Drosophila melanogaster: one gene and its partner. The protein of the gene in region 1 purifies or fractionates together with the protein of each later gene. This does not show direct contact. Each region holds a gene or a part of one and is shown in the gene's direction. Other genes may lie near its edges. The genes, in order: CG11191 and CHKov1.

What was found.
Region 2: the proteins of CG11191 (region 1) and CHKov1 purify together in Drosophila melanogaster (affinity purification with mass spectrometry, with the first as the bait; one large-scale study listed by BioGRID). This does not show direct contact.

Annotation. Positions count from the first base shown.
Region 1 is NT_033778.4:7,999,871-8,004,136, reverse strand, and holds CG11191 (uncharacterized protein), read left to right. Parts: upstream 1-2,016; 5' UTR 2,017-2,172; coding exon 2,173-2,214; intron 2,215-2,386; coding exon 2,387-3,256; 3' UTR 3,257-3,647; downstream 3,648-4,266.
Region 2 is NT_033777.3:25,323,065-25,330,876, reverse strand, and holds CHKov1 (CHK domain ov1), read left to right. Parts: upstream 1-1,560; 5' UTR 1,561-1,641; coding exon 1,642-1,816; intron 1,817-1,874; coding exon 1,875-1,954; intron 1,955-6,466; coding exon 6,467-6,880; intron 6,881-6,948; coding exon 6,949-7,315; intron 7,316-7,375; coding exon 7,376-7,572; 3' UTR 7,573-7,721; downstream 7,722-7,812. Other genes in the region: CHKov2 (CHK domain ov2), read left to right, coding at 1-454, 505-679, 736-927, 994-1,184.

The DNA of each region.
Region 1 (4,266 bases):
TCGGCGAAGATGTTGCCGGCGAAAGGAGTTAGGATCCCCAGAATGATAACTGTCAGAAAGCGCGGACAAAAGTATTGACTATTGAGCGATGGCCGCGAAACGTATATCTTGTCATGCTCAAAAATCGAGGCGAGCCGCTTTCATCCGAATCATTGCGATTCGATTGCAATTTGCTGCGAGTGTCATCATTCACTCGAATTCAGTTTTCCAGCTCCGATGCGATTTCAAAACTAACCCGAACCGCAGCGAGCACTCCCCACTTTGAGTGATGTGTCAAATCGACGACAGGCCGAAAAGTGCTCACAAAAAAATTCGAAATCTAAATCGGAATGGGAATTGGAATGCCAGGCACTCGAGCCATGTTGAATTGTAAAACTGGTTTCGCCTTTTTTAACACCTAAATGCGTTTAAATCATTCGCCCAAATTGCCGGAAATTTACATGCGAATGTCATTAGTTCAGTCGTCAGTCCCAGCCCTTCCCATGCCAATTGATTTGCTTTCTAAATCCATTGCAACTACGCTAGTCGATGGGAAAGTCAAATGAGAAACATAAGTAAATAGTTTATATTTCGAAAAACTATTGTACTTAAGTATTCGCTCCCTGAAAGTATCAAATTTCAGCAAATGCGAGGAAGAATCGGGGTCACCAAACTCAAATCGTCTGCGCAACACAAGTTTATTACACACATTTTCATGAGTCTGTAGATAAGCAAGCACATCAAAACACTCCTTTTTATAAGAGAACTTTAAAACGATTTCTTTACTCAAGTTCATCGACGTAGTTAAACATTTAATAATATTGTAGCTTAAATGAATATACTTTACTAGGCGATAACCCTGTTGTTTTGACAAATTTCAATATTTATTCTTATTCTTGAAATCTAGCACTAATCGGTGATCAATCTTATAAGCATTTTATAAGGTGATTAAAATTGAACCCAGAGAATGTCCCAAAAAATCTCATAAGCATTTTATAAGGTGATTAAAATTAAACCCAGAGAATGTCCCAAAAAATAGGCCCCGAAAACCTGAAAAGAATCTTGTCGGAATAATAAATGGCGGTTTGTAAAGTATCCTATTTTCAAAACGGACATGTTTAGAGGTGAAAATGTAATTAACATTTTTCTAAAGGGCTGTTGTTTTCGAATCAAAAGTTCGCTGTTTTGTTTAGTCGGTGGTAGAAATGCAACCAATATTTTATTTTTATATTATTTTCTCTACCATAAATTTTCTGTTCACAGGAAAAAGTCCCTTCCACTTCAGCATTCATGGCATTGACACACTATTTATAACGCAATTCGCATGGCACACCAATTCCCATAGTTACATAGTTACGTGGACACCTCCCGCAAATTTAGCGGCGACCCTCTCCGCAAATAGTTTCATAATATACCTGCCACGGAAGGCAGCGTCAAGTTGGCGCCCGCATCGGCACACGAACCGTTATAATCAGGGAGCCGGACTCACCTTTTGGCCCTTCGGAGCACCCCAGCCCAGACACTTGACCGGCTATTCGAGGGCCGTCGGGTCAGGGACTCCGTCGAGGGGGGGGGGAGTGGGCTCTAAGCCGGGCCATTACCGCATTAGCGACGACCCACTCGAGATTCCCAATCTGTGCGCCAGGATCATACTGCGCCTGTGCCGGCAGAGGCTCTCAGCTGGCACAGCTTGCACTGCTCCCCAGTACACTGGGCAAAACCACACAATAGAATTTCAGAATATTTCAGACTTAAAACTGAGTTTAAGCTAATCGATAGATCAACTATATACCATTTAAAGGTTCTTTATTTAAAACAATGCTTACAAATATCTTTAAATGATTTAATGGAATTAAATAGCATGATTCCAATGTGTTTAGGGTTTTCTAAAGTTAAATTTTCAACTTTTACCACTTCAAACATTTCATTTTTCTGCGTGCACTCGAGCCGCTGTCGCGAGGATGAGTCACTGGGCAGGAGCGCCGCATGGGGCGTCCTTGCTCCACCTGCGAGTGTTCGCCGCGGCGCTTCCTCGTTCAGTTTTGTTTGGATAGCCCAACGGGTTGCAGCGGCGATGAGGCAAATGCCCCGGCTAACGGACGCAACTCCGATGGAAGGGCAACAATAGCCACTGTAATTGCAGCGTTCAATTAGGGAGGTACAAAGCGACAGCGACACAAAGACATCGTCAGCATGTCGCACTTGCTGAGGCGCACCAAGAAGTCCTGTCTGAAGGTTAGTCCTCGCGTGGCGCCCAAATGGGTGGCCATCTATAGGAAATCGATGGCGACCCGCGCCGCATGAGAATGTTCAGTAAAGTTCGCATGCCCGTGCTTTCGGCACGTTAATCATACGCCGCGTTGGCCGCTAACGCTATGTTTATCCGTATCGATTTCTGTCCTTGCAGTTCCTGCGCAAGATATCGACTTCAAAGCAGCTCTTTGTCCAGCGGCTGGACGAGGAGGACGGGGACGACGAGGAGGTGGAGGAGGAGCTCAACCTGCAGCGAGATCTGGAGCTGGATGTGAACAGCAACTGTCCGGTGACGGAGGCCATCTACGAAGAGCTGCAGCTGAGCGAGTGCAACCAGGCCTTGGACTTGGCCACCTCCAAGGAGGTGGAGGTGGAGGAACTGCAGCCAGCGGCCAAGCATGACCTGCGCACCAAATACATGATGAGCTGCGGCAACTACGAGGTGTTGGACACACCACTAACGACCATCGAGTTCGAGCGGGTGAAATACAAGGCGAATGTACGCTACCTGCGGCACACGCCCTCCAATTCCAGTCTGGATCTGCAGCTGGAGGAACAGAAGGAGGAGCAGCCAGAGCAGCAGCAGCAGCAGCAGGCTACTCCGCGGAAACAGCAAGTGCTGCAGCAGGCAACTCCTAGGAAACAACAAGTGCAGCAAAGGATTCCCACGCCCAGCCGCTACCATCCCTGCAGTATCAGCCTGGGCTCCAAGCTGGAGGGCAACTACCACAGCGTGGTGATCATGGAGCCACCGCACGACGACTTCCCCATTGTTAAGTGGGACATCAACGGGAACTCCCTGGACGACGACGCCTGCGATCGCTGGGATGACTTCGAAGCCAGGTGGCGGCAGGCGGCGGCGGCCACCAGATCCCTCTCCCAGTCGCAAAAGTCCAGCCACCAGTCCAGCTCCTGCACCCTGGAGACCTGGGTGGACGACACGGAGCCCCTCAGCCTGGAGCTGCACCGACACGACAATGCAGTAGGCGGAAACAACTGCAATCTTTGCCTTAGGAGCTTCTGAGACCGGAAACGGACACTCGGCGGCTTTGTAACCTCCACTTTGCGTCCAGCGATAGAGCACGAAAACCAGTCTTGTGAGAATTACCTACATACGAGTATATTATACATATATGTAATCGAGTATTTGAGTCGGTAGACCGCAATTTTCATTATAGAAAGTTGTTTTCGAGAATATCCATTAACAATAAAGTGTGTATGTGTGTGCGGCGCCATACCTTTGGCTCCATACCTTGAGTAATGCACTTCAGAATGCGAATACGAATGCGAATGCCCTGTGCCCCGTGGGTGGGAGTAAGTTCATCGCCCACCCATCCATCCATCGATCCATTCCGGCGCACGACCCGCACGTGTGCTGGACGCTCGTGAGAATCCGTAGACCTTTGGCTTTCCCACGAGCCACGGCTGCGATTTCGTGGGTTCGTCCCGTTGTCGGTGGTGCAACTTGCCCGCCACTATTCATCCACTTGATTTGGGGTGGGTTCCGGCGATTCGGAGCGAGTTTGTCCCACGCTGGCACTGCCACTGGCATTGGCCATTAGACATTAGGCATTTTCACTTTGCTGCTTGCCGCACTCGAAACCTGAGCGACAGCATGCCGAATCAAATGAAAAGCACTTTTTATAATTTTCGATTTTGATGTACGTTTTTGAAATTGATACGGGGCTCCATTATAGTCAAGCTTACGCCTCGACCATCGAAATTAATCGAGAAAATGGGAGAAATGCTACACTAAATCATTTTGTGGGGGAGAATAACTAATGATATTTCCAGTTATATGCGAAATTGCAACATATAATAGTAAAGGGATATAAAAGTATATACAATAGTATAGGGATTCATATAGCAATATTGGGATTCTTTAGGGTGACAGGACAAAGGAGTTGAAATGAACATTTTAACATAGATATCTACAGAAGAATTATTTTTGCATAACGATAATTCAAGTATAGTTTTTATTAGGGAAAGTTATGTCAAACCACAACGTACATATATATGTAAATATATCAGCTC
Region 2 (7,812 bases), on another chromosome or scaffold:
AGTCCCGGAAGATGAGAAGAACGACTTCCACGAAATGTTCGATGCCGAACTGGACATGTACGATCATCTGATACCAGAATTGGAGGATCTATATGCCAAAAACACTTCCATATCACCAAAATTCAAGCCTGTTCATCTGAAGTTTCCAGGAGAGCCGGTAAAAAGCGACTACATTCTTTTGGAGGATCTGCGGAAGAAGGGATATAGGAATGCCGACAGAACCCAGGGATTGGAGCAGTTTGAAGTGGAGGCGGTCCTCAAGAAGTTGGCACAGTGGCACGCAGCCTCTGCAAAAAGAGTAGTCGAGCTGGGTGAATACGAGAAGGACATCCGGGAGAGTTACTTTACTACTGAGCACCAGAAATTACTCGATGAATTCAACATTAATTTTTGTATGCCCTTCCTGGAGTGCATGCAGCAATATAATCTTGAGCCAGGACAGCTCGTTCTCATAGTGAGATTATTTTATATCCATTTAGATAAATTGTAATCATTTTTATTCAGAGCGACTATACATCTCAACTGACGGATCTGAATATTGAGTTTGGTAAGAACGATCCTCTGGAGTTATCTGTGTTAAACCACGGAGATTTTTGGTGCAATAACTTTATGTTCAAGTATAAAAACGCCTCAGAAGTGGAGGACGTTTGCTTTGTTGACTTCCAGCTCCCAAAATATGGTAAACTGAAGGAAAATTCCAAAATATTTAATTGTAATAATAATACTCCTTTCCAGGCACACCCGCCCAAGATCTTCTATGCATACTGATGACCTCACCTAAGTTTTCAATCAAACTGGACAAATTCGACTATTTCATAGAGTATTATCACCAGCAGCTAGTCGAACACCTCACTATGCTCAATTACAATCGGAATGCACCCACACTATCCAAGTTCCACGCCCATCTACACCGATATAGTCTCTGGGGTAAGATCGTTATTAGAAGCTTCTTTCATAGGAATTCTATTTGAAACCTCACCTACTTGTTTGTAGCTTTCATATGCGCCCAGCGAATGCTTCCAATTGTTCTGCTCCCGCCCGATGTTGATTCACATATAGGCAACGTAATGGGTAATTCGGAGGAGGCGATCGCGTTTAAGCGTAAGATGTTCCTGTTGCCGGCTTACGTGGATCAGATAAAAGTCATATTGCCATGGCTCATTAACCGGGGTTACATAAGATAGACGGAGGATGCAATGATAAACAAGTTTCTAGAGAACGAATAGTGTAATAATAATATTGTATTGCATTCATACAAACATGTTGTTCACAAACTATCTCAAAATGCTAGGTGTTAGTATAAGCTAATACGAGAGGGTTTTTTTAAATAAATGTGCATAGTTTTACAAAAAATTATTTTCAATTTGTATGCAGGCTCAATTTGAAGAATTACAGTGAAATCGCTCGTTGTGAAATAAACAAAGGCAAACGACGCTCTTTCAGCTGCCAAAATATTTAGAATGCAATTAGCGGAGCTTTTGAGAGAAGATCGAGAGAAATCGGCCGCGCACTACGAAATTAAAAAGCTCCACAGATGTGTAGAGTCTAATACTCGGCTTTCATCAGTCTACGCAAGACCGTCACACTGGACGTATATGTGTTTTCTGCTCGATTTCAAAATACTTATCCCGATTATCTACAATGGCGGCTGGCAAAATACCCGATTGGGTCACCGCTGAACGTTTCGAAGATGTTCTCAAATCGAATGTGGACGGATATTCGAAAGTGCGAAATTTCAAAGCGGAAATGGGATCCGCGGCAGGTGACAACTACGCCACTAATATGTTGCGAGTTAATATCGAAGTGGAGCTGCAGGGTGAGTTGGGGAGTGGACTGGCTGGGAGCACCGTTGACATCAAATTTCTGCCTTCCAGATGGCACCACCAAAGAGTTGTCATACATGGTCAAGTTGCCACGTCAAAGGGAAATCAACAAGGAAATGATGAAGCACAACATACGTTCTCAGCGACAATGTGAACAAGACGAGCGCCGGCTCTCTTTACAACGCAACAATGCATACTTTTCTTTCGTCTCACCGCAAATCGGTGATCGAGCACCCTCACCTTCAACTAACTCGAAACTTTTGCCCTCAGAGAACGTCAGACCGCGTTCTTGCTCTCGCTCTCTGCCTGCTTCGGCTCACAAGTCGTGGAGCGAAGAAACCGCCTCTCCTACCCCGCTCCTCTCGCAGCGCCAAACGACCGTCCCGGGTAACTGTAACACTGCAATAACGAGTGCAGTGACCTCACTGGCAACTGCCACTGCTACCACAACATCAACTTCGTCAGCGGCCCAACTAATTATCGCTGTGCCAGCTGTAAATAATACAGCAGCACTGACCGTTTGCAACAACAATAATGCACGTAAAGAAGAATCAAAACAAAAGCAGAAGTCGATTTCGACTGTGCAGACTGGCATGGATCGCTACATCCAAATCAAGAGAAAGCTCAGCCCTCAAAACAATAAGGCAGGTAATCAACCCAAAATCAATCGAACCAACAACGGCAATGAAAACTCTGCAGTAAATAATTCAAACCGATATGCTATCTTGGCTGATTCTGCGACCGAACAACCCAACGAAAAAACGGTAGGGGAACCAAAAAAGACCAGGCCTCCACCAATTTTCATACGAGAACAAAGTACAAATGCACTTGTAAATAAACTCGTTGATTTGATTGGTGACAGCAAATTCCACATTATCCCACTTAAAAAAGGAAATATTCATGAAATAAAACTACAGATCCAAACAGAAGCAGACCACCGTATAGTGACTAAATACCTAAATGATGCTGGTAAAAACTACTACACATACCAATTAAAAAGTTGCAAAGGGCTACAGGTAGTACTTAAGGGCATTGAAGCAACAGTGACACCAGCTGAGATAATTGAGGCTCTGAAGGCCAAAAACTTTTCTGCAAAGACAGCTATTAATATTTTAAACAAAGACAAAGTTCCGCAGCCACTATTCAAAATAGAACTCGAACCAGAGCTCCAGGCACTAAAGAAAAACGAAGTGCACCCAATATACAATTTACAGTACTTGCTACATCGGAGGATCACCGTGGAGGAGCCGCACAAACGTATCAATCCAGTTCAATGTACTAATTGCCAAGAATACGGCCACACCAAGGCATACTGCACCCTTAAGTCCGTATGTGTTGTCTGTAGCGAACCTCATACTACCGCAAACTGCCCCAAAAACAAGGACGATAAGTCTGTGAAGAAATGCAGTAACTGCGGGGAAAAACATACTGCAAACTACAGAGGCTGTGTGGTGTACAAAGAATTGAAGAGCCGCCTAAACAAACGTATTGCCACAGCACATACATACAACAAAGTCAATTTCTACTCTCCGCAACCGATTTTTCAACCACCCCTAACTGTCCCAAGCACTACTCCAACAATTTCTTTCGCTAGCGCCCTAAAATCCGGACTAGAAGTGCCCGCCCCACCGACAAGAACTGCTCATTCCGAACATACACCGACAAACATCCAACAAACACAACAAAGTGGCATCGAAGCTATGATGCTATCCCTACAGCAAAGCATGAAAGACTTTATGACGTTCATGCAAAATACTTTGCAAGAGCTCATGAAAAACCAAAATATCCTGATTCAACTTCTTGTATCTTCAAAATCCCCATAATGGCTTCCCTACGGATATCTCTGTGGAACGCAAATGGCGTTTCACGGCATACACAAGAGCTCACACAGTTCATTTACGAAAAAAACATCGACGTAATGCTACTATCAGAAACGCACCTCACAAATAAAAACAATTTTCATATACCAGGATACTTGTTCTATGGTACAAATCATCCAGATGGTAAAGCTCATGGAGGCACTGGAATACTCATCAGAAATCGCATAAAACACCACCACTTAAACAATTTTGACAAAAACTACTTACAATCTACGTCCATAGCCTTACAACTCAACAATGGTTCAACGACTCTAGCCGCAGTCTACTGCCCACCGCGCTTTCCAATCTCTGAGGATCAATTCATGGAATTCTTTAACACACTAGGTGACAGGTTCATCGCAGCGGGTGACTATAACGCCAAGCACACCCATTGGGGATCTCGACTTGTGACGCCAAAGGGTAAGCAATTGTACAATGCGCTTACGAAGCCAGAAAACAAGCTAGACTATGTATCCCCGGGTAAGCCTACATACTGGCCAGCAGACCCAAGAAAAATCCCAGACCTGATCGATTTTGCAATTACTAAACATGTCCCCCGCAACATGGTCACCGCCGAAGCACTAGCAGATTTATCATCAGATCACTCACCTGTTTTTCTAAATATGCTAACTCGCCATCACATCGTCGACCCACCGTATAGACTCACAAATTTTAGAACAAACTGGCCAAGGTATCAAAAGTATGTCTGTTCACACATAGAACTAACGACGGCATTATCTACAAAGGAGGATATAGACAAGTCAACGGAAACTCTTGAAAACATTTTAGTTTCGGCTGCAAAGGCTTCAACCCCGCCAGTGACGTATGCAAAACCAAACTACATCAAAACTAATCGCGAAATCGAGCGGCTGGTATTAGATAAACGACGCCTACGATGGGATTGGCAGTCTAATAGATCACCAATTACAAAGCACATGCTTAAGATAGCCACACGCAGGCTTACCAATGCTCTCAAACAAGAGGAAAAAAACAGCCAACGTTCATATATCGAGCAACTCTCTCCCACCAGCACTAAGTACCCTCTTTGGAGAGCTCACAGAAACCTAAAGACTCCAATAGCGCCAATTATGCCACTACGAAGTCCCTCTGGCACCTGGTTTCGAAGTGATGAAGAAAGAGCCTGTGCTTTCGCTGACCATTTACAAAATGTATTCCGACCAAATCCCTCTACCAACACATTTATTCTCCCTCCTTTAATAGCAGCCAATCTAGATCCTCAAGAACCCTTTGAATTCCGACCATGTGAACTAGCAAAGGTTATCAAAGAGCAACTGAACCCAAGAAAATCGCCTGGCTATGACCTAATAACTCCAAGAATGCTCATTGAACTCCCAAAGTGTGCTATTCTTCACATCTGCCTGTTGTTCAACGCAATCGCCAAGCTTGGATACTTCCCTCAAAAATGGAAAAAGTCGACCATAGTAATGATTCCAAAGCCAGGAAAAGATAAAACGCAGCCATCATCATATAGACCGATAAGCTTACTAACATGTCTTTCAAAGCTGTTTGAAAAAATGCTACTCCTTCGGATTAGCCCTCATCTTAGAATAAACAACACACTTCCAACACATCAATTTGGCTTTAGAGAAAAACATGGAACCATCGAACAGGTAAACCGAATCACGTCAGAAATTCGTACTGCTTTTGAACATCGAGAATACTGCACAGCCATTTTTCTAGACGTCGCGCAGGCATTTGACAGAGTGTGGCTTGATGGACTTTTGTTTAAAATAATCAAGCTGTTGCCCCAAAACACACATAAGCTACTGAAGTCATACCTATATAACACAGTGTTTGCAATAAGATGCGATACAAGCACTTCACGCGATTGCGCAATCGAAGCTGGAGTGCCGCAAGGCAGTGTACTGGGTCCAATCTTATACACCCTGTATACGGCGGATTTCCCCATAGACTACAATCTAACAACCTCCACGTTCGCTGATGATACCGCGATACTCAGTCGCTCCAAATGCCCAATAAAAGCCACGGCACTCCTATCCCGACACTTAACATCTGTAGAACGATGGCTTGCCGACTGGAGAATTTCAATAAATGTTCAAAAATGCAAGCAGGTTACCTTTACCTTAAACAAACAAACATGCCCACCACTGGTCTTGAATAACATATGCATTCCACAAGCCGACGAGGTAACATATCTGGGTGTTCATCTGGACAGGCGGCTCACTTGGCGCAAACATATAGAAGCCAAATCGAAACATCTTAAACTTAAAGCAAGGAACCTCCACTGGCTCATAAATGCTCGCTCTCCACTTAGTCTGGAGTTCAAAGCTCTTCTATACAACTCCGTCTTAAAACCTATCTGGACTTATGGCTCCGAGCTGTGGGGCAACGCATCCAGAAGTAACATAGACATTATTCAGCGAGCACAGTCAAGAATTCTGAGAATTATCACTGGAGCGCCGTGGTACCTTCGGAACGAAAACATACACAGAGACCTAAAAATCAAATTAGTAATCGAAGTAATAGCTGAGAAAAAAACGAAGTATAACGAAAAGCTGACCACCCATACAAATCCCCTCGCAAGAAAACTAATCCGAGTATGCAGTCAAAGCCGGCTGCACCGCAACGACCTCCCAGCCCAGCAATAAACTTATTAGGGCATTAATGAAAAAAAAAAAAACTATCACTAAGTGAAAGTTAATTAAGTTAGATTAAGATTTGAACACTTATTGTTAGTCTCTTAACACAAAGAGAAGATTCAATAAATAATAAAAAAATTTAAAAAAAAAAAAAAAAAAAAACAACATCTTCGAAATCGAACGCACCATGTACAATCTGGTTGTTCCTGAGATGGAGGCTCTTTATAAGGCAGCCGGTGTGGAGGTCACGTTTGGAGCCAAGAGCTATGAACTGAAGAATGCCCAGACCGAGTACATATCTCTGGAGGATCTGTGCATCAAAGGATTTAAGAACGCCAATCGCCTTGAGGGCCTCGATCAAGCGCACACGGAGCGGGTTCTCCGGAAGTTGGCCCAGTGGCATGCTGCAACCGCCGTAAGGGTGGCCACTAAGGGTCAGTATCCGGAAATCGTGCTGAACGGATTCTTCAAGGAGGAAAACAGGCCGATGATGAACGATATGATGAATGGCATGGGACAGGTGTTTGTCAAATGCTGTAGCACCTACGAAGGTAACGAGGCCTATATAGAAAAAGTCGTAAGTTTTATCCCGAAGTTTGCTATAAAAATGTAATTTACGAACTTTCTTATATCATATCTCACTAGAAAGCTCTTAAGGACGTGATGATAGACGAGTTGTTTAAGATGTGCGTAGTCGATCCCACGGAGTTCAACGTCCTGAATCACGGTGATTCTTGGTCCAATAACATTATGTTTCAGTATGATGAGTCTGGCAAAATCAAGGAGGTGTATATGGTCGACTTTCAGGTCTCGAAGTACGGCACTGTTGCTCAGGACTTGTACTACTTCCTGATTTCATCCACAAAGCTGGAGGACAAGCTAAGCAAATTCGATTACTACGTTAAGGTGTACCATGATAACCTAGTGGAGCACCTGAAAATCCTCAAATATTCCAAGCCACTGCCAAGCCTGCGAGATATCCATAAGTCTCTATACAAATACGGAACTTTTGGTATGCATAACTGAGCACAATAATAGAATGTATTTAATACTAGTGTCCATTATTCTTCAGCATACTCTGTGGCCACAGGTGTAATGGCAGCCGTTCTCGTCGATCCAACGGAGAGCGCCAGTTTCGAAAACTTTGTTGGCGATTCCGCCGAGGGAGCGGACTTCCAGATGAAAATGTACAACAATCCCCGCTATCGGAAGCACATGCAGGCTATCCTGCCCTGGCTGCTCAACCGAGGTGCCCTGGACTTTAATTAGGAAAGTAATGATTCCATCATACGACTCCAACACACTCCGACTTATATTCAAAAAAAACCTCATTATCCAACTAACTCAGCTTGGTGCAGCCTACGCGTGAAGTATTGTAAATGTATTAAAATAAATAAATACAAGTTTTTTAAAACATTAAGCTGCTTTTAAAATGTTTATTGAATAGCTTATCTTAAAAACAGCAAATATTTACGGCTGCATACATTAGTATGTACCAAGTACTGGGAA